Linked DNA regions of Alligator mississippiensis. The main gene of each other region encodes a partner of the protein of the gene in region 2 in a complex. Links are inferred from orthologs where the notes say so. Each region holds a gene or a part of one and is shown on either strand. Other genes may lie near its edges.

What was found.
Region 1: APOOL (region 2) and MICOS13 share a complex: the UniProt entries of both Homo sapiens proteins name them as parts of the mitochondrial contact site and cristae organizing system (MICOS) complex. The link is inferred for Alligator mississippiensis from reciprocal best matches to the Homo sapiens genes APOOL and MICOS13.

What each region holds. Positions count from the first base shown.
Region 1 is NC_081839.1:4,001,252-4,016,010, reverse strand, and holds MICOS13 (MICOS complex subunit MIC13), read right to left. Parts: upstream 6,085-14,759; 5' UTR 6,012-6,084; coding exon 5,983-6,011; intron 5,579-5,982; coding exon 5,422-5,578; intron 3,904-5,421; coding exon 3,852-3,903; intron 2,723-3,851; coding exon 2,625-2,722; 3' UTR 2,523-2,624; downstream 1-2,522. Other genes in the region: disintegrin and metalloproteinase domain-containing protein 10, read left to right, coding at 291-387, 1,185-1,321; HSD11B1L (hydroxysteroid 11-beta-dehydrogenase 1-like protein), read left to right, coding at 7,474-7,558, 8,214-8,344, 9,208-9,319, 10,099-10,190, 10,827-10,920, 11,373-11,538, 11,879-12,065. UniProt on the Homo sapiens protein: Component of the MICOS complex, a large protein complex of the mitochondrial inner membrane that plays crucial roles in the maintenance of crista junctions, inner membrane architecture, and formation of contact sites to the outer membrane.
Region 2 is NC_081831.1:56,201,225-56,216,371, forward strand, and holds the start of APOOL (MICOS complex subunit MIC27), read right to left. Parts: upstream 5,853-15,147; 5' UTR 5,812-5,852; coding exon 5,695-5,811; intron 241-5,694; coding exon 136-240; intron 1-135. UniProt on the Homo sapiens protein: Component of the MICOS complex, a large protein complex of the mitochondrial inner membrane that plays crucial roles in the maintenance of crista junctions, inner membrane architecture, and formation of contact sites to the outer membrane.

The DNA.
Region 1 (14,759 bases), on a different chromosome or scaffold from region 2:
CCAATCTTACAATCTATGAGTCTATGAATAAGGCAGCTCTGGGATTCCTACCTGGTGTTCCAAACCCTGCCGCTGACTGGCTGCATGACCTTGGTTAAGTTACTGGCATCTCCATTCCCTGCACCATGCAGGTGGTGACAGCCGCATCCCTTGCAGAACAGCTGTCAGTAAGGCAGTTTGGGTAGCTTAGGAGCAGGTGCAGGTCCAGGTATGATTCCCAAGGTAGGGCAGAAGGTACCCAGCTCCTCAGGCTGCTGAGGACTGAGCAGTGGCCTGGCTTTGTCCCTCAGAAGCGCTGGTGGGCTGTGCTTGCGATGATCCTGACTTTGGCGGCAATGATGGCTGGCACCGTCTTCCTCTTTGGAAGGACCCTTGATAGTGAAACAGGTAAGTGGAGGTTTCAAATAACTCCTCCCTTACCCCATCCAGTTCCTGCTGCCCTAGGGAGTTTCAGCTTCTGCTCTGGGGAACGCCGAGGGACGTGGGCCAGCACAGCCAGCACCTTCCCCAGTTCTGTCCAGTAGACAAAGTGGAAATTTGCTAGGTTACTCGCTCTGGGGGAGCCATGGGAATTGCCACTCAAAGCATCCATCTGTCTCTTGGGGAAAGGAAAGCGGAGCCCAAGTCACACCCATAGGAAATCTAGGGATGAAACATCATAGGTGTCTTGGTAACTAGCTGATCATGCCTGTTTCCTCCATTAACCCCCAACCTCTGTCTCTTACTCCACATCACCAGCGACCTCAGGCTTGTATTAGGCCCCTTGCTGCAGCAAAGGCAGAATCCCCCACAGGTCCTTATTAATCTGCCCCAGGGAACCTGCTCCCCGACTTCAAGTCTGGTGACTTGTCTAGCCTTGACCATCTGAGCAAGACCCAGCAGCCACCAGGTTTGAGTACCAGGCCCACACCAAGCCCCTGGGGCCAGAGAAGCCACCAGACATGATGCCCTGCCAAAGCCAACTAGGAACCTTGTGTAGTTTTACCCAAGTTAAATACCCTGCTCCAAACACCCTTAGCACCCAGATACTGAGCTCATTTTCACAATGGATTGCTCTCAGTCTCTGACCCCTGGGGCAGGGACACCAGAGATACCGCTCTGGGTGTGACAGCTAGGAGCTCATCCCAACTCCTACAGAAGAATCACTGCTGATAGTGGTTTGGTTTGGTTTCTTTTTTACTTAGAAGAGAAAGACACAAAGAGCACAGTCAGGGAGGCCTCAGCCAGCCAGCAGCCTCAGCACAGACGGATGTTAATATACCATGAACACGAGGAGTTCTACATGGAAACCACGCACCGGGAGTATGAGACTATCATATAGCAAAGCATCCAGATCCAGCAGTACTCGCAGACCCCCTCGCGAGTGGATTTTCCAAGAGGTCTCAGCTCATGACAGGCACGTAAAAGAAGGGACTGGACTTGGCCCCAGCAACTTCTGCTGAAAAACCAGCTCTTGGGATCCAAGATTCCTGGGTTCTGCCCTCCGCATAGTAGAGCACAATAGGAGCCACAAATGCTTCCGTGTAAGGTTAGTCCTCCCACTGCCAGATCTGCTGTGTGACTTTTGCTTCAGCTCTTTGCAGCTCGGCTTTCTGCCCAGGTGTGGACAAAATTGATGTTCACCCTGCAGCTTGTATAGAGATACAGGTGCTGGCATTAAACTCCCGAGTTGGGGTACTTTTGTCAGCATAGCTGCAGCCACATGGAAGGCAGGCCGCAACACCCACCCAAGATAGGTAAATGCTCCAAGAATAATTACTCCAGACTCTAGCTTTTACAGCTAGCCAGCCACTGGTACCCAAGCTAGTTAGTTTTAAAACTAGCTTAAGTAGGTCTCTGCAAGCCACAGTGCCTGAATTGTAGATATACCTTCTATCTCAGAAGCTGGTCTCCATCAGCAAAGTGATTAACCTTTCCTGCTTCAAATCATTTCCTGTATCACCCTTCACATGTTTCCAAAAAGAATTCAAGACACCTTTCATAAGAGGCAGCATTTCTTTCCTTGGCTAAAGGCAGGTCTGATGGCGCTGCCTATATACTACGTGGAAACAAGGCTGTATTAGTCAAGGTCTCATTGAAGTTACTGAGACCAAAATCTAGGTAGATTTGAATAAGGCTACGCAATCAGTGGATTCAAAGGGGACACAAGATTGGCATTAAATCAGTGTTGGGGATTATAAAGGATGGGATGATAGGTCAGAGATAGCAGTCAGTCCAGTGGGTTTAGCTTAAGATAGAAAAATGTTCCTCGTCTCCTTGCAGTTGCTGAAACTCTGATTATTTGTACTGGGCTTTGTCCTTGGACCATATCTTTTAGTATGTCTGTTGGGCTGGTTAGGTGTTGTAGGGTTTTGGTTTACACTTGTACAATACTGAAAGACCTGCTTTATAATGGTAAACTTTATAACAGCGGTTGAATGCACCGGTCTAGGCAGAACTCACCCCAATCAGGCCCTGTCCCCACTGTGGCTCCTAGCCCCCGTGGCTGAGCCTACGTGCCGACACTGACCCGAATGCAAAGGGAAGTTCCAAAGTCTTTTATTGTAGCCCTTGCGTGGCTGAGCTGCCCCTCAGAGGCGCGTGCTATGCATCATCTCGGAGACGCAGCAAGCCCTGGAGAGTGTTCATTTAGCAAGGTCCTTCACATACTTCCAGCCTTTCTGGGTGTATTCACGAGCCCTGGTGGGAGCTACAGACAGAGCCGACATGGCAGTGTGAACTCCTGCAAGAAAAAAGAGACATGGAGGGGAGTCCTGAGAAAAGCATTAACAAAGCATGCTGTACCACCAATAATGTGATATCGTGGGTCACACGCCCTTCCCCGTTTAAACATAATACCAGAGATCTTGGCTTATATCAAGGGAATCTTCAGTCAAGTCTAGGCCTGAATAATTCCTGATTCTGGTGCAGTTGTTACGGTCTCATCAGTAGTCAGTGGGTCCTCCCCACCACCACTACCTAGCCCACTAGCCAGGGGAGTGGTGTAACCTTTGTCCTTGGAAGCTTGTAAGTGTAGGTTTGGCAAATGTTTGGGGCAATTCAGCCCCTGCATTGAGCAGGGGGGCTGGATGAGATGTCCTCTTGTGGTCCCTTTCACTCCTTTCTGTCTAGGATATTAAAGGGGTCTGAAGGAAGGGAGACTTCATGGTTACAGCACAGGCCTGGATACTCTGTATTTTATTCCTGGGTCTGACACAGACTTGCTGTGCAACTCAGGCCTGCAAACGGTAAGCAACTTGCCCACAGTCTCTCCTTCTGGAAAATGAGAAGCAGGTTGAGTTCATTTTCTAGATGTTTTCCACATATGTTAGCAATGATCAGATCAAAAAGGCTGGAGAAGGGCACTGTATTATTTGGAGAAGTCCCAATAATAACGGGAACCATCTTACATTTTCAGACCATCACAGCAGGTTAGATGCCGAGTCCCACTGATTGTACTAGCACTTGAAGGATTTTATAGAACTCCTCAATTTTTAATTGATGACCTCCTAAAGAGCAGCTCAGCACTATCATGCTTTGTTGCCAATTCTACGAGTGCTTCTGTACTTGGGTTACTAGCTGCAAAAAGGCCACCTGCCTTCAACATGGCATTTTTATCAGTAGATTTTAAAGCACTTTTGAATAAAAGGTGGCCAATATTATCCCCACTTTACAGGCAAGGAAACTGAGGAACTGAGTTGTAAAGAGATCCACCCAAGGCCACCTTGAAGGTCAGTGGCAGAGCCAGGTCTCCCAAATCCTAATCCAGTGCTCCATGCACTAGCTCTCGCCAAGTCCTCACAATAGGATTGTTGGATAAGTTACATCAGTGACAGCAGCCCCCTTCTGCAGCAAAAAAGCAGAAGCCTTACCTTTGTTCCAGGATTCAGAGACAGAAAAGTCAAATTTTGGAGTAGATGGAAGCTGAAAGAGAAAACAAGAGGCAAAACCTCAATGTCTGGCCCGCTAGCTACATACAAAGCCGCTAAGCAACATGCTAAGAGAGGAAAGAGCAGAACAGGCACCACCAGGCTTCCCAGGTCATGCTGAACAAGGCCCTCAGGCCCCGATTGTTAAAGGTATTTGGGCACCTAACTCCCTCTTCAATTCCATGGGGCACAGAAAAGAAACCTGGGCTCTTACCTTCTCTCTTACTGGCCCATTTGTAAGACTGGGGCAGTAGGCAGCATTTTAAAAGTGCACCAAAATGATTTAGATCTGAATCCACTTGGCTGCTTTTAAAAATATCACTGTTAAATTTTACCAGGACTTGGTTTATTATGGTTATATCTCGATTTATGGCACTAGGGCTTTCCTAGTCCAGGAAACACTGTCCCTGCACAGCAGATTTTCCAATCTAGGGAGTCAGAGCCAGGCCAAGGGAAAACTACCGCAAGCAATTTATAGACCATGTTATTAACAGGAAGCAGCAGGGCAGGAGTGGGTCTTTGAGGGTGGATCCATTCGGTAGTTTTTAGAGCAATGGTTCCCAACCTGTCTCATACTGCGGAGCGGGATGGAGCCAGAGCTAGCAGTCTCCCTCTTGGGGCTGCCCTGGCACCCAGCTGCGACTGCTGCTGGGGTGGACAGATTGGTGTCCGAGAGGGGGGCTCGTGCCACGACCTGGCAGCCAACCTTTCACGGCCGCGGCCCAGTGGCTGGGAACCTCTGATTTAGAGGCTTTCCAACAAGGGGTCAGGAGCATTACTTATCATAAAAACACCTCCCAGATCAGTGTTTCTCAACCTTTTAAGTAGCAAGTACCCCCTAACTTCTGAAAAATTTAATAAGTACCTCAACACTCAATTTTCCAGGGGATTTTATATTTTCAGACTAATGTGTGCTATATGTTGGAAGAAGGGCTGTGTCTATAAGGCTGTGATATGATAGATGTCTGATCTGGTGTGTGCAGGGTTGCACACCTTTTACACCAGGGGTGCACCACTCAAGCATGTGCCTGGGCTAGAGGCGATGTTGGCCGAAGTTTGAAGGGCTGAATCCAGTGCTATGCAAAGCGTGGCATGCCAAATTATTACTGGGGAATTTAAAGCACCGTGCAAATGTGCAGGGCACCAAATTTTTGGCCATAGTTTTGAGAGGTGGAAGGGGCAAGAGAAGAAGAGAGGGTGAGAGTGTTGGGGTACCCACATACCCCTGCCTGTGTCTCGTGTACCCCCAAGGGGGTTAGAAACTGTCTCACACGGCATGTTCACGCTCCTCTCCTGTCCTCCGCAAACTGTTTCTTGCGCACCCCACCTCCAATAAGACCCGTGGAGGGAGAGAAGAAACGAGCGCACAATCCCTTTTCCTTCCAAGGTGAAATCCCGACTCCGCTGAAGTCGGCGGCAAAACGATGCCGCGGGAGAACCCGAATTCTGCTTCCTTCCCCCTCCAGCGAGGGGCTCCCTGCGGCGCCCCCCCAGCCGCCTGCGCCGTCCTCACCTCCCAGCCGACGTAGTTCGTCCATTCCTTGATGGCTGGAGGCAGCGCCGCCTGCGCCTTGCGGAGGGCTTCGGCGCCTTGCTGGCCGCTTCCCAGCAGGCCCTGGTCGTACGCCACGTACACCGCGCCGCCGGCCAGGCTGCCCTTGACCATGAACCTGGGAGGGAAGCCGTCAGAGACGGCATCGGGGTGGGTCTCGCGTGGCTCCAGGTGCTGTTGAAGTAGCCCCCGCTCTCCAGGGGACACGGGCCGCTCCCTCCCCCCCAGCCCAGGGCACCGTGTCCCTGGTCACATGTGCCACCCCCCAGGGCACACCTGCACCCCCCCAGGGCACACGTGTTCCCCAATCACACCTGCACCCCCCCCATACACATGGGCACACCCCCCCAAGCACACGTGTTCCCCAATCACACCTGCACCCACCAGACATGCGTGTTCCTTAGTCACGTGCCCGCCGACACGTGCGTTCCCTAGCCATGGGCGCCCCCTTGGACCCCCCGAGGACGCGTGTGCCCGGCCCCGTGCACCCCCAGCCGGGGGAGGTCGGCGAGCCGCACTCACTTGACGACAGGGAAGATCCGCGACGCCATGACCGCAGCCCAAGGGCAGCGCGCCGCCGCCCGCCCGCCTGCACCGACTCCTCCACGCCCGGCCCGGCCGGCTCGCCGCACAGCCCCCCGGGACTTGTAGTCGCCGGCTGCAGTCACGTGGCCAAGCCGCCATTGTTGCCGAGGCGCGGCCCCGCCCCAGCCGCAGCGCGCACTTCCGCCTCAATAGCTGGCATGGCAGCGGCCTGGCTTCCGGGTTGGGGTGGGGTCACGTGATCCCCGTCTGGGGGAGAGCTGTCCCAGCAGCCTCTGCGAGGTGGGGCTGGGCAGGACCCAGGAGGAAACAGCATGGGTGGGGGGGCATGCAGATTGTACAGAATATATCACCCAAAATTAGATATACATACACTGTATCATCACTCTGGCTTGTAATGATTAGTGTAATTAAATGTCTCCTAGTGGATATCTGCATTGTTTCTTAGATGAGTCATACAAATCAAGCAGGCTTGCCACTTGGAAATATAAATACTGCGAAGGGATCGTCCCCTCCAGGCGTGCGTGGGACTCGCGCAGGCGCATCCATCCCAACTGACCGACTCTTTCCACGGCCGCGAGAGCTGGTTCAGTTCAGTTCCTTAAACTGGCGTGAAACAAAAACATCTGAATAAAACCAATCGGAGAACAACGATTAGACTATTAAAATAAGTCATCTGTCGATGTTGGGCTGAAGCAAAAGGAGAGAAACTCTGCATTCAAGAAGATTTGGTGCCAGTCCTTTATTTCCCCCCTGACTGAGCGGTGATAAAAATGAAGGGGAATTGTAGCCGTATCCTAATTCTGCGTCTAAGCTTGCAAGGAAGGTCCGGGTCACGGACGGGCTGCAGCCTCGTCTCCCTAGAGACCGAGGTAACGAGGTTTTGGTCGTGGGGAGCTTGCTTGCGCCGACCGTCGCAAGACTTTGCTCCTCGCTCTGTGATTTCCCTTCATCTTTTGACGAGGCGCCTCATCCAAACCATGCAGCCAAGGCAGCGAGAGAGAGGCTGTTGTAACCCTGACACGGGCTTTGACTGGGTTGACCCAAGTGCCACCGAAATCCGGCCCTAACGAGCCTGCAGAAGGCCAAACACCGCGGGGGGGGGGACAGGATGAAGTTCCCATGTCTCTGCAATAGCAGGGCATTGTTCCTCCTAGAGGATGCTCGGCCCTGGGTATCATCAGTCAGTCAGGAGCATCATGGCCCTGCTCCTTTTTATCTCTGTTTTCAGGGTTGTGCAGCTCCCATCTCCCGGCTCAGTGGAACTGCAGCTGCTTTGCAACCTGGTCCCCTGGCAGAGCTGTCTCCTCCAGGTAAATCAGCAACCCGAAGGGTCTCCCTGCTGCCTGCACGAGGGAGCGGTGGGCCCAGACTTTGTCCTCTGTCCTCAGGGGCAGAGGTGAACAGCGCTGGGACGGGACTCAGCCTTGAGGCTTCGCCCTTGCATTGTCGTCTGGCGCCGCAGGGGAAATGTCTGCAAGATGGAAGGCGCTGTGGGCAGCTGGGATTGCCGCCGGGCTCCTGGCTTTGTTCTGGAGAGACATCTTTAACCCAGGTAGGCCCAGAAAGGAAAGCACGAGAGCCAGAAGCTGTCGGGGGAGAAAAAAAGGCTGAGTTTTGAAATGGTGGTTTGCGGCGTTCTCATCTGGAGAGAGTCGTCTGCTTCTCCGGGACTGCTTCTCCTTGTAGCCGGCGGCAGATGGGAGCTGGGAGACCTGTGAAAACAAGTGGAAACACGGCGGAGGAGGAGGCAGGGGGGTGGCAGCACTGTAGGCAGGCAGAGGTGGTGCGGGTCAGTGGTAGGAGGGTTTGGGAGCTCTGGCTGCTGGTTGCACATGTCTGCAAGGGATGGCCTCATTAGGAACAGGAGGCGTAATGATTCAGCAAATTGGTCACAACAAAAGGAGGCGTCTCGACTGCAGCGAGATAGGGGAGTCAAATCTGCCCGGCAGCTATAGTGGGATAGGGTTTCACGTGACCCAGGGACTGATCCAAAATTTCGGTCAGAGCTAGACTTTGTCTTTCCAGGTGCCACTCGGAAGGAGAAGGGTCTCCCCGCCCTTGCCGGACCAGCGTTCCCATGTTATTTCCCACCCAGACTGGGTTTTCCAGCCCAATCCTGAATCTTGGTTGGCTCTGGAGAAGCACAGAGACTTGTGGCCACTGGTCTGAACCCCTCAGTCATTGCTACTCCTCTTTCCACCCTGCAGAAACCATCTCCGGCGCCCGCGTGCTCCTGACGGGTGCCAGCGCTGGGATTGGAGAGCAGATGGCTTATCATTATTCCAGATTTGGTGCCGAAATAGTGCTGACAGCCAGGAGGGAAGCTGTGCTGCAGAAGGTGAGACCTCCTTCACATGGTAGAGGGCAGCAGGGCTGATGACGTGGACCTAAAAACAATGAGGATGTAGGGCAGGTCAGACATTTTCCATCAAACTGGTATGGGTGAGCTGCCCAGCCACATTCACACCTCTCAGGCAGCACCACCATCTGACTCCTAGGATGCACCACTTCCCTCATCAGATTTGGATGCATGGTGGGAGAGATGATCTAGGAGGGAACCTGACCTGTGCAGGGTCATTGGAGCAGGTTGGACATTCATAGCAGGCTTCTCTGAAGAACAAGGTGGAGCAACATTGAGAGCAAATGCCCCTGAGGTTGTGTGAATGGTGTAACGTTCATCTCGACAGCTCCGAGCTCAATTCTGCTCTAGGGCAGGGGGTCACAAGCCCAAGGCCTAGCATCACATTTCAACCCCTGACTCATTCCTCCATGTCAAACAGTGCTGTGACGGCGTCAAAGGACCTGGCTCCTTCAGGCTTGTCTACGCTTGAAAAGTATTCCAGCTGAAGGAAAAGGATGGATTTCCAGTTTACCAGCTATTCCAGAATAGCTCTCCATGTTGGCATGATTATTCCAGAATAAGAGAGGTTTTTTTCTTTTAAGATTAATCCACTTGGAAAGCAGATTGCGAGTGTCCGCACAGAGAACTTTTCCAGTTAATTTCCCCCTTGTAAACAAGACTTGAGTGCATCAGCAGAATTTGGTCCCCTGTAGGTTGTGTGATTATAAATTTGGATGGAAAAAGTGTGTCTCTGTTCATCCTTGACCCAGGCAAGAAAAGAGGGAGGTGAGTAGGAAATAAGCTCCCTGCCCCTGCCCTGATAATGTACTTCAATTGGTTTATCTGGGTCATTTCTCCAGGTGACGGAGAAATGTCTGCAGCTGGGAGCCAAGAAGGTCTTCTACATCCCGGCTGATATGATCTCCCCTGCGGAGCCCGAGCGGGTGATGCAGTTCGCTGTGCAAAAGATGGGTAGGTATTGGTCTGTTAGAAGAAAAGCAACTGATGCTGGGGAGGAGGAACCAGCAGGGTGGGGTCTCAGTGAGTCAGATCCCAGAGATCCAACCCAGCTGAGAGCAGAGCACTGTCCCCATGGCGGCTGTGTGGGCAAGGAGGTGACACGGGGTCAAAGGTGCTCGGAGAAGCTGACGGCAGTGATCCCCACCAAACTGCCTTTACTCTGCGGTTCCCTTTAAGCATCTGCTTCAATTCACCATGAGCTTGGGTCCGGGGAGGGGGGGTGCATTGCTGCACCTCCTTTTCCACGGGCTGTGCATTGCTGCATCTTGCACTCATGAAGCCGGTCTGCATGGGTGAGAGCCAGATGTGCAGCGTCAGCTTTCCTGGGTGCCCTGCCTGACCCGCAGGTTATCGTGGTTCGTTCTGCACTCCCCTCCATCTCTCTGGGTATCTATTCAGCCCTCCTCACCGCAGGAGCACGGTGCCTCTGTTTCCCCATCTTGGTCAGGGATGTGTGCGTAGAAGAGGAGAGTTTGGACTGGCAGCATGAAGCAGGACCCAGACTGTGTATTGTGAGCTCAGCTGGTCAGAGCCAACCGTTCTTGCTGTGCATGTGTAAGGGGGGAAAAGCAGTGGCAGGGATTGGCAACCTACGGCTTGTGGGCCAGATCCAGGCCATTTTATCTGGCCTGTGAAGCCCCAAGTGTGCCTCTGTGCTGCAATTCGCAGCCCCTGGCTGCCTGACTTGTGGGGGGTGCTTTACTCAACTCTCACTGCCCCCTTGCCTGCAGGGGGCCTGGATTACCTGGTGCTGAACCACATTGGTGCGACCCCTTTACAGATGTGGGATGGGGACGTGGAGCACACCCGCTGGCTTCTGCAGGTGGGTTTTCTTAGGGTAGGAGTCCTTTGGGGGTGGAGGAGAGGGGCAGAGAGGCTTGGCCCCTGCGGGGATCAAGCTGGGGGCAGCTCCCAGGAGCCGCTGGCTTCTGGCAGGGCTGCAGTTGTGCCCTCTGGCTCCAGAAAGGGTGAAACAAAAAAGCCTGTGATGCTTTGCTCCTGACTGGAGGGAAAGGGGGAGGAGGGGTCTGAAAGCCTGCAGGTAGAGAGCTGAACTGATTAGAGCATTGCCCTTGTCTGTCCGTCTCATTGCCAAGGTATGTGCTGCTGTAGGACCTGACTGATGTTGTGTTACAGGGCCTTGGCTCTTGCACCATGCCTGTCCATGCTGGGCCTTTCTGTGGAGTCCTCCTGAGGTCAGGTTTTAGGACCCCAGAGGGGCAGACTTATGGGGTTGCTGAGACATGGTAATGAGAAGGCTTGAATCTTTTATTAATGTGGAAGTGGAAGCTGGGGGCTGGGGATAGAGAGGGGTAGCAAGGGGCGACACCCCAACTTCAGGGGGAAACTTAGGCCAAGAGTTACCTGTAAATTCACATTACAGGTAAGCTCAGGAGGGGTGTAGATTTGGAACGGTGACTTTCTCATTCTTCTCATGCCCCCTCTCCTGCCTCCACAGGTGAATTTCCTTAGTTACGTGGCCCTGGCGATGGCTGCGCTTCCGGTCCTGATGGAGAGCAAAGGCTCCGTGGTTGTGGTGACCTCCATCTCAGGTGAGTTTGTGACCTCCACAAAGCACGATCCAGGAGGGCTGCACTTCCCGGCATGCTGTGCTTCCTCACGGTCCGCAACCAGTGTTGCCACAGTCATTCGATTCAGAGTCTGACTGCCCCTTGCTAGAGCTTGTCTGGGCTGCTGACCCCCACAGCACTTCACATGGGCTGTCAAGGACACGGCTAAAAGACAGCCATCTCTGGAGTGAGAGGCCAAATATTAGGTTATTCAGTGGCTATGCGGGGTCAGGAAGGAGTACTTTCCCCTGGTGCATTTTTTGGAAGGGAACCGTCTCACACTGCCTCTGCTGGAGATGGGAAGCCTGTCCAGCTGGAGCAGTGGGTCGATGTAGCTCAGATCATCCTCCCTTCCCTGGCTCCTCTCCCAGCAGGGCCTCATACTCAGACCCAATTTTCTCTGGGTTTCCCCTTCTCTCGTTTTTTCTTCCTAGGGAAAATCGCAACCCCCTTCGCCACTTCCTACTCTGCCACCAAATTTGCCCTGGATGGGTTCTTTAGTTCCTTGCGCCATGAGCTCGCCATGCAGAAGAAAGACATGAGCATCACTCTCTGCGTCCTGGGGCTGATCGACACAGAGATGGCACTGGAGAAGACAAGGTGTGTACATGTAGCTGCAACAGGATTTAGGTCCATGCAGGGCACTTCTGTCCATGCGTGTGCATGCATGAACATGTCTAAAGCCACGTGGGTGATATGCAAGACAACACGTTGCATTCACATCTGGGCTTATGCACGTGCCTCCATACAATGCGTGCTCCAGGCTGTTTGCATCCATGCATGCAGGAGTGCATGTGCATGGATATCTGTAGGCCTGCGTGTGATGTGTACAGCCCTGGGCTAGTCTAGACCTTTCGGCTGCTGTGACGCACCAGCTTGCACTGAGAAGGGCAGTGCCAGCCATGGGAGGGTGAATGACTGAGCGACTGTTCCCTTTCAGGGGCCTCGTGTACATGGATGCCCTCCCTGCCACCGAAGCTGCGCTCGCCATCCTCCGTGGTGGTGCCACGCGGGCGCGGGAAGCATTCTACCCCTGGTGGCTGGAGCCCCTGTGCTACGTGCGGGGCTGGTTCCCCAGCCACTGGGACTGGGTGGTACAGAGCTTCTATAACTACACCAGTGCCTGAGCAGTGCAGAGCCAACACTCCCGGCCCCTGCCCACCCAGGCGCTGGGCCTTCTGCTTCCATCAGGCCCAAGCTCAGTCACAGGCTTCGGCAGGACCAGGATCAGGACCTTGAAATGGGAACGTGTCGGGGGCCGAGCGTCCAACCCTCATGCTAGCTGTGACCCCTTCCCTGGACAGCTGAGCCCCTTCTGCTCCCTCTCTGCATCCCCCCCCTGGGCCCAAAGGTCAGTTCTGTCTCAGCCTCAGCCTCCCACAATCCCACCTCTGCTGTCTGGCATATAGCCGAGGCTCTCCTCAACTCCAGCCTCCAGCCTCTCGCACCTGGGGACAGAATCCACTGCTCCCCTCACGCAGGAAGGAGACCTCCCTCCCACTCCTGTCTCCACCTTGCCGACAGCCCCCAGCCTCATGGGATCAGGCTCTGAGCCCTCTTCCAGCCCCTTCCCGAAGGGTCGAGCCAGGCTCTGGGACAGGGGTTCAGGCCAGTCCAGCAGAGGCAACAGGAGGGACACACTCACCTTCTAAGGTGGGTACTTGGCCCGTTTCAGGCCCTGAGCAAGCTCCATCCACCCTTGTCTTCCCCCTCCTCCGGGGATCCCCTTTGGGAACACTGCCCTGAAATGTGGGGCTGTCTTGGGGTGGCAGCAGGGATGCAGAGGACCCAAAACACCCTTCCATGCCACAGAGGAGCAGGAGGATTCTCCCAGGCCTGTGCCCAAGCCAATACCACCCTCCACCCCAAGCTGCCAGGGACAGATCCAAATCCCATTGGGGATTTAAAGGATCAGGACATGACAAGCAGACAGCAGAAGGGCCGAGCACCCGCAACCACCAGTGACCCCCAGCATTTCTGAATAGCAGGGGCTCCTTGTGCAAGTCGGGGCTGCCCAGCCACCACGAGGTGGCAGCATCCAGCAGCCGGCACCAGCTCACCTGCGTGGCATGGAAAGCATCGGCTCCCTGCTCCTCACCTTGCCCTGGCACTGCAGCTGCAAGCCTCATCATCCCCATGTCCCAGCGACTGGACTGGGAGCCAGTGGTCATGCCACCCCTCTCCAATAAAGGGGCTGTTTCCACCTGAGCCAGGTTGTGCTGGAGTCAATCCCAATGCATTCCCCATTGCATCCTCTTGGCATTCAACAAGTGGGGGTGGGCTGTAGGATGCCACTCAGGACCTGTCTCATGATAGTGCCGCTGGTATGGCAGTCAGCTAGAGGTGTTAGTGGAGATCAGGGCACCACCGTGCTAAGTGCTGTACATACCATATTATCTGATGTATATGACACGTGCTTTGTGCTGAAAATGGAGGTCTACATTAAGACACATCTTATGCCATGATGCGATGAAAAATCACTAAATTTCAGTCCATTTTTATGACACGTTTACGGTTAAATATTCTCCCCCCCCAGTTTCATCCTTTTTCCCCTTTTTGCGGGGTGTACCTTATGCATCACAAAATGCAGCACCCGCAGTAAGTCTGCACCAGCCCCAAAGAGCTCGCAGCCAAAACAGACAAAAGGAAGGTTATTACCCTTATGTTTCGCTGAGTGCCAGAGAGGTTAATGGACATGGCCAAGGTGATGGAGGATGTCTGTGGCAGGGCTGGGAATCCAGCCCAGCTTTCCTGGGCCAGTCCTGTTATCCCCACAGCTGCCCAGCACCTTCACAAGCTGGATTATATACCACCAAAGCAGATCCATGCCGGGAAAATAAGCTCTGAGCCCAGCTGTGCCACTCCTCGACCCATCGGAAATGTCTCCCCTGCCAGATCCACCTGGGGGATGCACAGTTGTGGACCCGAATTACACCTTCATCTAAGTCTGTTGGGAACAGAGGTGAAATGACCTGCTCTCAAGCTGTCCAACAACCACGGCGAGCATATCCTGGGGACGGTGTAGAGGGGAGAGGTTCTGCCTTGGCGCACAGTTAATTTTGCAGGTTTCAGGACGTGCCGGTGTGTTCAGGATCAGAGCGCAGGGACCCCCACTGAGCAGGCCTGTGCCGCCTTCCTGGACCTGCAGCCTGCGCGTGCAAAGGTCTTGCACGGCCACACATGGAGCAGATGTGCAACTGCAGGAAATGCACGTGGAGCGGCAGCAGGGGGGCACCTAGCATGCACGGGCCCACTGGTATGTGGCTGGGTACATGGTTCATTCTGGAGGGGCAAGCATCGATCATGCTATCTCATGCCCCGCTCAGTCCCCAGCGTGGAGATGAGCTGCCAGGTGTCTGCAAAGAAGAGCTGTGTGCAGGAGGGGAAGGGAAACCACTCTGAGTGGGTGCAGGAGGAGGAAGGAGCAAGGTGGTCTTTCAGGGACTTGCTCCCCGTCACCAAGGCAAGCCAAGAGGAGCCCGTCCTCACAGTGCAGGGGATGCTGGCGGGAGTTGCAGAGGGGAAAACCCCAGCTCTGCCCAGGGAAATCCCACAACCACCAACATGGTTTTCCTACTGGCGGGGGAAAACCACGACCACGGCAGGGGGCAGTACCCTGACCGAGGTAATGCAATTAAAAAAGCACTGTGTAGTGGAGGGTTGCACCCGGGTCTGCTTGCAGACAGGACTTCCTCATAGTTAGCCTCCCACTTCGACTTCCAGTGGGAGGATCTCAGCTACACGCCGGCTTTAAGGGAATAGGAGACTCCTCCCTAGCTTGCTCCTGCGGCCATACGGCTGAGGGCAAGCAAAACTCGGGG
Region 2 (15,147 bases):
TAACTCCGTATCACTCGTAGTTAAATAATTTTGTTTGCTGTGTAACATCATTCAAAGGGAAGCCTTGGTAGTTTTCAAATACTTCTAGTTATTGTTTAAAAAAAAAAAAAAAAGCAGCAGCAATAAGAATCTCACCTGATTTGGCTTTATTGGGTGGGTTTTTGATCCTTCTTCTGTTGCAGCATATACACTAATAGATGTACATGCCAGAGCACAAGGGACAGCGACCAGCTTGGCCATCTAGGACAGAGAAAGATAAAAAAAGCAGCTTTAAATGTTATTTGAGAAATCATATTTTCTCCTCTTCATTAACATCCAGTAGTAATTTCTGTGCGTCTGATCAATCTGACATGCTTAATCTGTTATTTGATTATTTAATTGAAATTGGTTTAAAAATGTACCTTTTAAAATCCTCTTTTGTAATATAAAACATTTTAGAAGAAACAACAGAAGTTTTTTAAACAAAAAAATACTCAGGTATGCAAACAGAGAGGTCCACAACCTGAAAAGTACAGTCTAGTGTACAAGTACAGCCCAACTACTTTTTAAAGCAATATTTTATTATTCAGAATTAATTTTGAAAGTACTCTAAAAGTACACTAGTATATCAGCTAATTCAGTCTCAGAGAGCAGTAAAAGTTGTTTCTCACTGTTACTATCATTGCCAGTACCACAATACTGTGGCTGGATATTTTTGTCCACACTCATTTTAGTTAATACAATGAAATCTTGACTGAACAATACTGTCATACATTGCTTATGAAGTATTATTACATATATTGCCCAGTCACAGACTTCAATCCCACTGTGCTAAGTCCTGTATAAACACAACATGAGACAATAGGTCCTAGTGGGAGGGTGTGTATTCCTCACAACTACTAGAGCCCCCTATTTTAAGGATAACTGGTAGTATTCCACAACATTTATGCTATTTCTCAGATCTTTTGAAATTGTGTAGTAAAACTCAAAATTACCATATACAGTAAAATCCCCATTATCTGACATGAGTGGGGAATGCTGGGTGCCAGTTATGTAAAAATTCCAGTTATCTAAGGCAGATAACACAGAGTGGAGGGGGAGGGGGTAGTGGCAACCACATGCAGAACAGCGGCAGCGCAGGGTGGTGGGGGCAATGGCCAATGTGTGCAAGCTTCTCCCCACCTCCCCAGGTCCAGCCGGAAATACTGGTTAAATAGAATATTCTGGCTTGCAGAATGCCGGATAAGAGGGATTTTACTGTATATCCAAAAAAACTTATCTAAAGAGTAAACTGTGTTTTCTTTTCTAGGTTCTACCCCAGAATGACACATTATTTGCTATGTGACCATGGGTATTTCCTATGTGATCACCTGGTCGAGACAGACCTGTCAGGCCTGGTTTTAGGAAATGCTGAGCACCCACAACTCCAATCTAAGTCAGTGGGAATAACAAGTGGTCAGTAAGTCAGGCCTGAGGTATCTCAGGGTCTGAACAAACTATCAGAACACAGTGAATATGCAGGGGATACGGATTTTCTGTGGAGCAACAATAAAGTACTATGTTAGAGATAAAGGATGTACACAGTGCATATCTTAGGGCCATTCCACTGATTCTTACTGTTCTTCAGTTGACATTTCATTTGATTTCAGGAGACTGTCATACTGTACCTGACTCTGTCCATATACATTTTTTTGCAAAAAAAACAGCAGATTTAAAAGAGAAAAGACTCAAACCATGACTCTGGAACTCTTAAAATGCTGAACATTTTTTAATACCAAAAATACACTATATTTTCTCTGACCTCATAATCTGAAACCAATATAAAACTATCAAACCTGGAAAATGTCAGCACAAATGGTTTAAGTTTGGTACAGTTATAGGCAAACAGAAAAGGGGCTTCTAACAGGAAACATTAAAATAAAATTAAGTTTAAGACCCCCAACAAACTTTATAGATAAACATATAAATAACAGCTCCCTAAGACAGAATTCTCAAACCATGTCAGTAAATAAGCAAACAACAGATATAGTATGACTTTAAAGATTGTAAACTGGGCTTGTGGTTACATCTGTAGACTAAGAGTCTGTTTTATTATAATCTGGAGTAACTGAAAGATACCCTCTCAGTTTACATGTAAAATAAAGTTTGTTTCTGTAACTGCCAGATTTACTAATTCTACCAAGATCAAAAAAGCTATGTTGGTTCATTCAAAAAATTTCCAGATATTCTTCAGATAAAACAAAAATAAAAAAACCCGAAGTTGTGTTAAATCTGCTAGACTAAAGGCGTGTCTACAGGAGACACGTTAATGTGCATTAGCTTAATTTAATGCACATTATGGACACATGTCTACACATGTATGCTCTTAATGCGTATTAAAATGGTGAAATTAGGCTAATCGCGCCTAAATTTGATACCTGCAAATTTGATACCCAGCTACTGCTACCCCCAATGCTTTGGCTGCAAATGCAGGTAGCAAATTTAGGTGTGATTAGTTAAAGCGCATTAATGCATGTGTAGACACCAGTAGGGGTACATGGCAGGGCTGCAGTGACTTGGTACTAACTTTAGTCCCAAGTCTCTGTATGTGCAGACACCTGGCAAAAATTGCTTAATGTGCATTAAATTGACATTATCGGCAATCAGCTTCTTTTGGCTGATTATACTGCTAATAAACGCTGCGTGCATGTGTACAGCTGCAGCATGCATGGGGCCAAGAATACAGCCTGGTAGCTTGGAGAGCAGCACCTGGCTGGTAAGTGTGGTGGGGAAGGGACGGGGGAGGGGAGGGAAGGGGCATGGGGAAAGCAGATCAAGGATCCCATGGAGGGAGGGAATGGGGCTGGGGCAGGTGCTGCTCAGCCAGGGTGGGACGCAGAGTGAAGTCATGAGCAGCTTGTCTGACGGCTGCAGGGGAGAGGTATGGGGGGCACATGCCCCCCTGATCTGTGTATGGGGCAAGGGTGGGCTGCCTGCTGTGCGCTCAGGCCAGATGCTGTGCTCGGGCTGGGAAGTGATGGCGCTGTGAGGGAGGACTATGGGGGAGCTATGGTGAATTTTGGAGTGGTTGTAGCCCTCCCCAGTAGCCCTGTCCCAGTGCCACCACTGACTGCCCCACCCCTGCACACCCTGAGCACAGATCTGGGGGGGCACATGCCCCCCCATGCCTCACCTCACCTGGGGTATGTGCAGTGGCAGAAGCCACCCTCCTCTCCTGGATCAGCAGCACCACACCCAGCCAGGCCATGCCTGCCACAGCCCCTCCCTTACCATGGGGAGCTCGATCTACTCCTCCCACTCTTCTTCCCTCCCCCACACCCCTTCTTTCGAACAGACTTACCAGCCAGATGCTGCTCTCCGATGCATATTGCCAAACTGACCGGTGTTGGCCAATATGGCTAGTCAATAATCAACACAGGTATTGGTCCAAAAAAGCTTAATTGGTGCACCTCTAATTACTTTTCTTCGAGAAATGAACACGACTTTCATGATAGTGTCTCAAGGTATCAGCAATAATTTATTCCTAGAAGACAGGTTTAAAAAACAGTGTAGTCTACAACTCCATAGGTTATTAAGTGCCCATCAATGGTTTCCTGCTTAAAAGAACTGATCCAGTGAAGTAATCCAGCGGAACAAGACTTTTGGGATAATTCCTGAAAAGATAAGAGAATGTTCCTACTACCCTTTAAGGATCATAGAAGTATTCTTGCTACTTACTGTTCCATTATGTCAAAGCAATGTCATGGTTATAACATTAAGCTCAAGACAGACATGATTTTAGCATTAAAATTTGTCAGTTGTTTCTGATATGCAACAAGATTACTGCAAATTATGTTTAATCAGAAGTCACGTAATTAGTTCTTTATAGGAGTTTGCATACTCCATTGCTCTTTGGTTAGTTACCCTACGAATGACAGAAAATCAAATGATAAGCATATTTTCTCTGAAAACCATAGTAAAGAATAAATTAAGTCTCACCCCCTTCCCTGCACACTACACCAGGCACCCCACCTCACCCTCAGCTCCCTAGTTGTGGGCTTTCCTGCTGCACCATGCTCTTAGCACTGCCGGGTGGGCCATGCTGCATCAGTGCAATCCCTGGGATGGCACCAGGAGGGAGAAGGAACCTGAAGACCCTGGCTGCTCTTGCAGTCAGAGCATAGGGGGTAGCAGTAGCTGGGTGGGAGCCCAGGGGCCACAGTTTAACCCCTTACAGGCTGCCAGTTGGACAGCCCTGGTCCAAAATATCAAAATCAGGTTAACCAGACTATTATTTTACCAGGTCCTCCTTTTTCCACTTTTTAATATTCATAACTTCTCTAATCCTCTAGAACCTCAATTAGTACCATAAGTTTGTAAATAATACTACCAGTGGCTTTAAGAATTTCTTCAGCTAATCATTTCAGGACCCTTGGTGAAATCCATTAGGCCCTACTGGTTTGAAGTCTTTTAAATTGTTCAGAAGTTCTTAGATGCACTGTTAATTCATTATTTGTATCCTTTCCCCCTATTTCTTTATATTACTTTTTCTAGTTTCATGGCAGTGTATTTTTCTGTGAAGAATGAAGCAAAGAAGTCAATATAACAAGAGCAAACAGCTAAACAGTGAGGTAAGAGAAAGAGGTGAACTCACTTATTGTTTTGGAAGAAGGCAAAGAGGCCTAGCTGGATCAGGCAGGCACAAAGAAAAGAAGAATGCTAACGTTAGAGCTGTATAGCAAGCAGAGAAGGCAAGCAGATAAAAAATTACAAAGCTGAAAGATGGTGCAGGGTCAAGGGAAGTTCAGACGGTCAGAAACACAACTGACAAATACTTACTAGGACAGAAAAAGAGTGAAGGTGATTTAGCATTTGTCTGCAATGGGAGACCTCTGAGGGGGCGACAAACATAACACTTGAACAGTTTTAAGAATGTCACTGATTGGGAACTGGTTCACAACTGTCGCGGTTTAGAGGTGTCCATACACACACCGCCAAGGTTCCTAAATAGGAGCCACTTTTCAGATATTGCAGTGTTGTCAAACTATCACCAGGGGGTGACAGTGAATATCCAGCTTAGCATGCCTTAGTAGCAAGTGGCCCAGTTTCCCCAATATTTCCTGAGCAGAGAAGGAAGACTGTATGAATGGCCCACAATTGCAATTCACTGATCCTCCTTCTCACTAACACCGAGTTCAGTAAAGACCATTCCCTGTGCTGTACCAAAATCTTCATGGTAGTACCCTGACTAGAGGTGCCTAGATATGTGCGTGGAAGGGTTGGGGGGGGGGGGGGGAGAGGAGAGGGAGGAGAAGCTGCCTGACCCCTGCTTCTGGTTCCTGAGAGCTGGGTGCTCTGGATTGTCAGAGCTTTTGTGGCTTGCAAAGAGCACTTTCTTACAGGCCACTCATCAATTTTCTTCAATTTGTGGTAATGTATCACAGGCTGTTTAGGAGGTGAAGGGCTGACCAGATAGTTGGGGAGGGGCAGGTCTACCTGGACCTCTGCTTCTCCCTTCCTGGGGGGAAGGGTACTCCAGAGTGCTGCTCAAGGTCTCTGGCTTAGCCTACTCCCTTAAGAAACGTTACCTCCAGGTGGTCAGGTGGGAAAGTGCCTAGACCCCTGCTTGTGGATTCCTAGGGAGCTGGGTATTCTGAGGACTCCCCAAAGTTTCTGCTTTTAAACACATTTCCCCACAAGCTGCTTATCGGTTTCATTGCATTTGTGGCAACTGACCAGGCTTTGGGGCATCCCAGGCTGATTTGGGGTGGGGGAGGAGGGTTGGCCAGGTGCTTCAGGGTTCCTGGGTGCACTGCTGAAGGTCTCCATGTAAGTTGCCGGCATTGCAAGCATTTGACCAGTGGCTTGGGAAAAGTGTTGCTTAAAAATTGCAGAGATCTTGGATGGCTCCCTGGGAATGCAAAAACAGGGGCAGATATGTGGGTTTTCCAGAACATTTTGAATTGGAAAAATTTCCAAAGCCCTAAATAGAGCACAATCTGATATAGCATGCTTATTTGACTTATATTTAGTAAACAAAACTAAAAAAGTACCCCCACGTTAATTTTATGTCTCAATAGTAACAAGTATTTGAACTGAAATGTTTGATTAGGGAAAAAAAATTAAATACAGCACACTTAATGTGGTTTAAATGTTACATTCAAACAGATTCAAAGCTTTATGTGGAGGTGTTCAGTCCAGTCACAGCCCCCCTTTTAATTCCCTGGATCTGGAGACCAGTGAATTTCCTTCCGGTATAAGATTCTGGGGCTCTGCCACCCCTGACACCCCAGCCTTATGCCACCTTGATGTTTAATGTCTTGTCTGATAAATTGCTTGTCTAAACCATCACAATCCTGTTTTCTTCAGACCACTCCCCTGTCTGTCACACTTTACTGGACAGCCTCCCTTCTTCACATCAAGTACCCCAGATTTGTGACTACTGCATCTCAGCCTCATCTAAACTGCACATGGCTTTATCAATATTACACATTCCCATTGAATCTTAAAGTGTAACAAACTATAATCTAACTCATAACTTACCAGATGCACCTGTGCCACCGTATCTAGCTGAGTGCTAGGGGCAATGTAAAGTGCTAGGTACTGAAACCTAAAGAACTAGGCAGGCAAGGGTTAATTCCTATCTGGTTTGTTTTTTTAGCTAGAAGTGCCTGTGCCCTGAAGCCCACTTACCACTTCTTTGCTACTTGGTTTCAGATATCCTCTCTGTTTACCTTCTGGTAACAAGCTTTAGGAAGCAGATTCTTGCTCCTGTACTAACTCTGTACGCTGCCTCCTGCTCCAGAACACTCTCATTTAATCCATGGGGCCACGGGAAGGTTTCTGCTCTGTCTCCCCCTGGGCTCTGTACCAATCCCTGCATCCATCCACTACAACCAGATCAACCAAACCTAACCCCTTCATCTTTCTCTTGCCCTCCTTGAACTGCTGTTCTTGCCCCTTTTAACTGCTGAGCCTGCCCATGTGCAGGTGAGCTGCTTCTTGAAAAGGGGGTGAGGTGTCATGTCCTTTCTGGTTCCAGCTGCTCACCTGGCTGCTCCAGCACCCCTCTGGCAAGGTAAGCTTGTCTTTTAACCCCTTTTTGTCCTCACCCCTCTCACAACACTGAACAAGTTAAAGGACCATTTCAAAATAACACCTGATTATCCAGGCATACTTTTGAAACGTTCCAGGAGCTTTACAACATTCTAAATAGGCTTGAACATCTGGACGCTTGCAGTTTAAACAGCATTTAAAACAGTCTAAGCGTGACGTCTATCTGGAACTCTGCTGGAACAGTTATATACAGGGACCTACTGTGTCTGTAATTGCACAATTTCTGCAGAAACTGCAGATTTTAGCCAGCTCCGCAAAAAATGGTGGGCTTTTTAAAAACACAGCAGAGTCACTGCAAAACAAAACTAAACCAAACCAAACCCAATAAACAAAAAAAAAAATACTTCACTGAAAATATAATGCTGGCTCCCCAGGGGGGATTGCCTGCATGGTCCCCTGGGGGAGCCAGCAGTCCTTGTGGTAGGCAGCAAACCAGGTGGGAAGTGGGGAGGGAGGCTCCTGGCAAGAAGGACTGCTGGCAAAATGGCTGCCTGTCATGAGGCCCCACCCCTTTCCACCAATTGGTACCGAAGGGCAAGGGTGCATGACGGACAGCCCTGACAACAAATCAGTGGCAAGGAGCAAGGCCAAGTGACAGACAGCCCTTGCAACTATCAGCAGTGACGGATGGGACCACTGAGACCCTTCAGCTAGAAGCATGGCTGATTTTCTTGGGCAAATCCCAAGGCCCTACTGCCCACAGCCTGAGAAAATGGCAGCCGGCCTTGGGATTTGCCCAAGAAAATCAGCCAGCCGCCTCCTCAAGTTAGGTAGACCCCTAGTTATATAGCACTACACCCTAGTGGAGACACAGCATACGCTGACATGTTTTCCTGCCAGAAAGGCCACACCACTTTTCTGAAATTAAACTGACAAAGCACTCTGACCAGCATAGCTGTATCTAAAACACAGGGTTTGCTAGCAGCTAAAAGGAGTGACTTATTTCACACTCTTAGCTGATGTAATTATAGTGACAAAACTTTTTAGTCAAGACCTGGCTTGAACAGAAGACTGATAGGGCCTTACTCATATTTAGAGACTAAAGTCAAGTCTATATTACACAAGCATTGCAAGTTTATCTGAGTCAGGGAGGAGCACAAAATAAACCACACAGCCTAACTGACTCAGGTACACTGGCAAAACTGTAGTTTGTACAACATCCAATGCAGTTGTGCTGACAGCAGGATGCTTACCCTTGGCTTAATATGTCATTTAGGAAGATGATGCAACCCCAACAGAAAAAACACTATGGCATATTCTCAGCATTAGCTATGTCAGGAGAGCCCTTAGTGATGCTGGAATAGCTAAAGCCATAGAGGCCCTTCTAAAGCACAGACAAACCCTAAAGGTTTAGGGAGAACAGAAACAGGATGACAATAATCAAACCAATTAACACATGAATAATTGCCTTTGTGATAATATGACCTAGAATAAAATACCACGGTCAGGGCTAGTGAAGATGTCACTCAGAAAGACACTTATCTCTTGGGGAACACAGAGCACACAAACTTTTATTCTGCTATTTGAATATATTCTGTTAAAACAAATTTTCTTTATAATTACATGTTAATAGATTGTAATTGCTTAAAATCATTCTTCTTTACCTATGAAGCCTTCTCAGAATTAATCCTTATTGTCACTGTAATCCAGGACACAATACTGCAAACAACTATACCTGGTTTCAATACAACGAAGGAGACCAAAGTTGTAACATTATAAACGAGAAGACAAACCAGGCTTTCCAAAGGAAAAACACAAGATAGTTTTTGCTTGTTTTAATGCACATACCATATTTACTGTGGTAAATTAAAGCAGCCAGAGAGCTGTATTGTGGCAAATTAATAAAAAAAGAAAAAGAAAAGGAGGTGTTTTATGAATGCTGAAAATAGTTCAACTTCAGAATAGCACTGATTAGACACTTACTCAAGACAACTGCATGATTATGCTAGTGGGAGCATCTCTACTGTCCAGTAATTGTTTTAATGCAATTATTTTTTTTTAAAAAGGCTTACTTTTCCCTATTGAAATGACAAAAGCTCTACCAGACAAAACAAAGAAAATCAATATCCTAATTTGTGCAACATCCAATCAACTTTGCCAGGTTCACAGGTTAGTATGTTCCTTCCTCAGACTAATAATTAGGTATAATGAAGTAAAATACAATTACTGAGAATGCCAAGGTCCAGAACACATTGAACAAAACAAAACAAGGTTAAGCAGAAAAAGAGTAAGATCACCTAATGAGCATTAGAAATGTAATATTATGTGGGTCAAGTCAAAGCCTTCTTGTTTCTTTAGAATTTCAAATAGTCTATAAGGAGATACTAAGGACCAAAGAAGAACATGATCATGAAGTCTTAACAAATCTGCAAGAGATGATGAAAGCAGTACAGTGAAAAACTTCTGTAAAAAGCTCATGGCCATATAAATCAATCTGTAATTTCATGACTAACTAGTAAAGTGACTTCAGAACAGCAATGAATCATCTGTCTAATCTGAAGTAAAAATCTCATATTCTATTGCAAAGAACCAGTAAAAACTCTCAATAAATGCTCATTTAAACTCTTTTATATTAAAAGATTTCCTTTAAACTGAAATTGTACAATGCATGTTCGGCTACCCAGTACGTGCGCTATATTTTTATACGGGTTCTTTTTCCTCTTGTGGTTTTCTTTTTTATCCTTAGTAAAGGGACCCTTAAGAAGGATCCAACCCAAACTAAAGTCCATTAATATCTTTCCTCTAGCTTTCAGACTCATAGATTGTAAGGTCAGAAGGGACCTTGCAAGGCCACTGGGTTCAGCCCTCTGCACCAAGCAGGAACGATAACTGGGGGTCAGGTAACCATCTTGTCTTCTCTTGAAGATTTCCAAGGTAAGTGATTGCACCACCTCTGGAGGGAGCTTATTCTACAGTCTGGACACCCCAACTGTGAAGTTTTTCCTAATGCTGAGCCTGAATTGGTCTTCCAGGAGTTTGTGGCCATTACTCCTGGTTTTCCCCTTGGGTGCCCTGGTGAACAGTTGCTCACCAAGCCCTTGATATACTCCCCTAATGTAGCGGTAAGCTGCTAGCAAGTCCCCTCTCAGCCTTCTTTTCTTCAAGCTGAAGAGTCCTAGATCCCTCAGCCTTTCCTCGTATGGCTTCCTGTGTAAGATGGATCATACAAGTGGTTCTTCTTTGGACTCTCTCAAGCTTGTCCATGTCTTGTTAAAGTATAGTGCCCAGAACTGGATGCAGTACTCCAGCTGCGGTCTCACCAGTGCCAAATACAGTGGAAGAATCACCTCCTTGATTTTGCTGGAAATGCAACGATTGATGCATGCCAGAGTGCTGGTTGCCCTATTGGCTACAGCACTGCACTGCCGGTTTATATTCATACTGTGGTCTATTATTACCCCCAGGTCCCTTCCATTCGTGCTGCTAATCAGTTTGGTGCTGCCAAGCCTGTAGGTGTGCTGGGGGTTGCTCATCCCAAGGTGGAGCACTTTACATTTATTGACACTGAACTTCATCAGATTCCAATCCGCCCAATTTGCTAGTCTGTGTAGGTCTGCCTGCATCTGTAGCCCATCTTCAAGAGTGACCACATTTCTCCATAACTTGGTGTTGTCCGTGAACTTGGCCAGTGAGCTCTTCACACCCACATCCAATCATTAATAAAGATGTTGAAAAGTACTGGACCAAGTACCAACCCCTGTGGGACACTGCTGCCCACTACTCACCAGGATGACACAGATCCATTCACTACGACTCTCTGGGTCCTATCCTGAGGACAGTTTCTCACCCACCTGACTGTCTTGGAGTTAAGCCCACAATCCTCCAATTTTCTCATGAGGACATGGTAGGATACTAGATCAAAGGCCTGTTGGAAGTCTACGTATACAATGTCAACCTGCTTTCTCATGTCCAGGTGGCGAGTTACCTGGTCATAGAAGATGAGGTTGGTAAGGCAAGACCTGCCTGTGATGGAAGTCATGTTGGCTTGTCATTCAGAATCTTACTTTCTGCAAGCTTATCTCAGATAGACGACTCCTTGATGACCTTTTCTAGGATTTTCCCTAGGATGGAAGTTAGGCTGATTGGCCTATGGTTACCTGTGTCCTTCCTCCTGCCCTTCTTGTGGATGGGTACAACACTGGCCCTCTTCCAGTCCTCAGGGACTTCTCCAGAGCACCACCAGTTGTGGAAGAGTTTCGCCAGGGGTTCCACAATGACTTTGGCCAGCTCCTTCAGCACTCTTGGATGAAGAGCCAGTCCCAATGACTCATATATGTCTAATTTTTTTAATTCATCATACACCAATTCTATGGCAATAGTAGGAAGGTGATTATTCCTACTGTGCTCATCCTATATTCTACCTGGCGTTCGTCTTCAGTCCCTGGTCCCACAGCACTTCCCGTACTGGTGACCTAAGCTTGTTGAAATAAGATCTGATTCAGTATCCAAAGCAAACACAGCATAGGATATGTTGTTAAACAAATATGGGTGAGTCCTGAAGCAGAACTTAAAAAAAAAAGAAAGAAAAAGGCATGAGCCCAAACAGTATTTTGTAGACATGAATTCAATACGGATACAGATGCTGACTTCTAAGGTGCTGACATTTATGGTGTTGCTTTGTGAATAACTGAATTGAAAGCAAGTCAATGATAATAATCAGAAAGCATCTCCCTTAATACTATATAGAAGGGTGATTAAAAGAGACCGTGGTACCATGTAGTACATCACAGGGTTGTTTTCTCACATGGATAACACACAAACCGGGCTTTCCAAAAGATAAACACAAACCAGGCTTTACACAAAACACCACAGACTAACAGTCAGGATTGGCATTATTTTTGATCAGTGGACCATAACAACAGACTTTGCTAGTGTGTGAAAACTGGAAAGCACACCTGAAAGTCAAAAGAAAACTGTTAAAGGCATGCTTTTAAAAAATAGAACTAGAATAAAACTATCAAAACATAACAATGAAGCTGTCAAACTATACTTGCATAATTTGGGCTTTAAGTTTCTGCATTTCAAATAATCTACTTTGAAGTGTCAGAATCATATCAAAGATCAAAAATACAGAAACAGTGAGACGTGTGAATTCTAAAGAGCCACAAAACTACAAAGCATTCAGGTGTCTTACAACTGAAAGGCTTTTATTATGCTTTAATTTATATTCTACATGTCCTGGAGATCCACACAAGTTAAGTAAGTGGTGTTTCTCACTGAAATGCTGCAAACTTGGTATTCTCTCTCCATCTTTTCGGGCATATCTAAAGAAACCTGTCCAGCAGTTGCGACTAAGTCTCGTGCAGAAAAAAGTAGCCTCAAACGAGCAAGCTATATGCTGAACTCATACATTACTTTGAAAAAAAGCTTACTTAGAACAGTTCTATTTTAAACGCCCCCCCCCAATTATTTATCAGCTAGTTCAATGTAGGCCTACAAACTGCTACACGGGTTGCATAAGATGCACATTAGGAACATTTTTCTTGTTGTTTATATACCAATGCTGGAACTGGCTTCACAACAAATCTTAATTTGTAATTGTTAACTGAGAGACCTCAATGAGAGGAATCAAATCTTGATGCAATGCTTTTCTGTATTTGTATTAATAAAATACATAAATGATAAATTCTTTGGAGGCAAAATTTGCAGATAGCACAAGGATTGTTAGATTAGTAAATAATGAGGGGAAATAATTATTGTAAGAGTGATATTAATACTCTCATTAAAACTGTCACAGTCCAACAGTGTCTTTCAGTATAGCTAAATGCAAGGTAATCTGGAAACGAGGAGGTTAGTCCTATAGGATGGGAGGCTTTCCTTGGAAAGAAAGAAGTTAACTACAAGGAGGCCTGGGCATCCTTGCAGATAGCTGCCTCAACACAAGCTCTTTGTGACATGTTATGAGCTAAAAAGGCTAATGAAATATATAAAGAGGGGAATTGCCTTCATTTTTCTGAGCAGGGACCAAGTCACCCCCCACCACTGGGACCCCCATAGGTCCCAGGGGAGGCGCACCCAGGCCTAGGGTCAGCGAGGACCTAGTCAGTGAACTTCTGGAGGGACTGGACATATTTAATTCAGCAGGTCCTGACAATCTCCACCCCAGAGTGCTGAGGGAATTAGCAGAGGTCATTGCGTGACCCCTGCCATGGCTTTACGAGCACTCATGGTGCTCTGGCATGGTGCCAGAAGACTGGAAAAGGGCCAATGTGGTTCCCATTTTCAAAAAAGGGAGGAAGGAGAACCCAGGAAACTATAGACCAGTCAGTCTTGCCTCGGTACTGAGTAAGCTTTTTGAGAGAGTTATCCTGGCGCATGTCCATGAAGGGCCAGCAGGGGAGATTATGCTTAGGGGCAACCAACATGGGTTCATTAGAGGCAGGTTCTTTCAGACCAACCTGGTGGCCTTCTATGACCAGGTCACAAAATCCTTAGACGCAGGGGTAGCAGTGGATGTAGTCTTTCTGGACTTTAGGAAGGCCTTCGACACTGTCTCTCACCACATTCTCGTTAAAACTAGGGGACTGTGGTGTCGACACCTACACAGTCAAATGGGTCACTAACTGGCTGGAGGGCCGCACCCAGAGAGTGGTGGTGGACGGGTCATTTTCGACCTGGAGGGATGTGGGCAGCGGGGTCCCCCAGGGCTTGGTCCTCGGGTCCGCACTGTTCAACATCTTCATCAGCAACTTGGATGAGGGGGTAAAAAGCACCTTGTTCAAATTCTCAGATGACACTAAGATGTGGGGAGAAGTGGGCATGCTAGAAGGGAGGAATAGGCTGCAACTGGACCTAGACAGGTTACAGGGGTGGGCGGATAAGAACAGGATGGGTTTCAACACTGACAAGTGCAGGGTGCTGCACCTGGGGAGGAAGAACCAGCAGCATAACTATAGGCTGGGGAACTCCCTTCTCGTCAGTGCAGAGGCAGAAAAGGATCTTGTAGTCATTATTGATGCCAAAATTAACATGGGCTGACAGTGTGGGGATGCGGTCAGGAAGGGCAACCGTACCTTGTCATGCATCCACAGATGCATCTCAGGCAGGTCCAAGGAGCTGATCCTCCCCCTCTATGCAACACTGGTCAGGCCACAGTTGGAGTACTGCGTCCAGTTCTGGGCGCTGCACTTCAGGAGGGACGTGGACAACATGGAGAGGGTCCAGAGGAGGGCCACGTGCATGATCAGGAGTCAGCTGGGCAGGCCCTATGAGGAGAGGTTAAGGGACCTGAACCTGTTCAGCCTCCACAAGAGAAGGCTGAGGGGGGATCTAGTGGCCGTTTGCAAACTGGTCGGGGGGACCAGCAGGCATTGGGGGAGTCCCTGTTCCCCCGAGCACTACCAGGAGTGACAAGAAATAACAGTCACAACCTGTCAGAGGGTAGATTTAGGCTAGATATCAGGAGGCACTACTTCACTGTCAGGGCAGCTAGGATCTGGAACCAACTTCCAAGAGAAGTAGTGTTGGCTCCTACCCTGGGGGTCTTTAATAGGAGGCTGAATGAACACCTCGCCAGGGTCATTTGATCCCAGTACTCTTTCCTGCCATGGCAGGGGGTTGGACTTGATGATCTGCTCAGGTCCCTTCTGAACCTACCAACTATGAAAATATCTACCAAAAGTGGGGAAGTGTCTCATCTTTGAACACAGCTTTAGTAAAACTGCAAAACAGGATACAGTGTCAACTGCTAGTGTTGACAATTCAAAGAGGATATGGAAATATTAGGCAAAGTTCAAAGAAGGACCACAAAATGATTCAGGAGCTCGAAAACAAACCTTACATTCTGAGGCTTATGAAGCTCAATTCATTCAGCTTATTGAAGAACAGGTTGGGAGGTGATTTGATTACTGTCTATAAATTGATAGCTTTTTTTAGATGCAAAACACTCCCTATTGGACTCAAGGCACTATTCAGAAAATGCCAGCAATTAGTTTTCACTTTTTTTTTTAATTATGGAAAAATAACAGGCAATTATTATGTTTCAAAGAACTCAGAAAGATCACAACAGGTCAGAATGTACTTGGATCTGGATCTCTAGTTGATATATCTGGGTTTATCTAGGGTTCGATATTT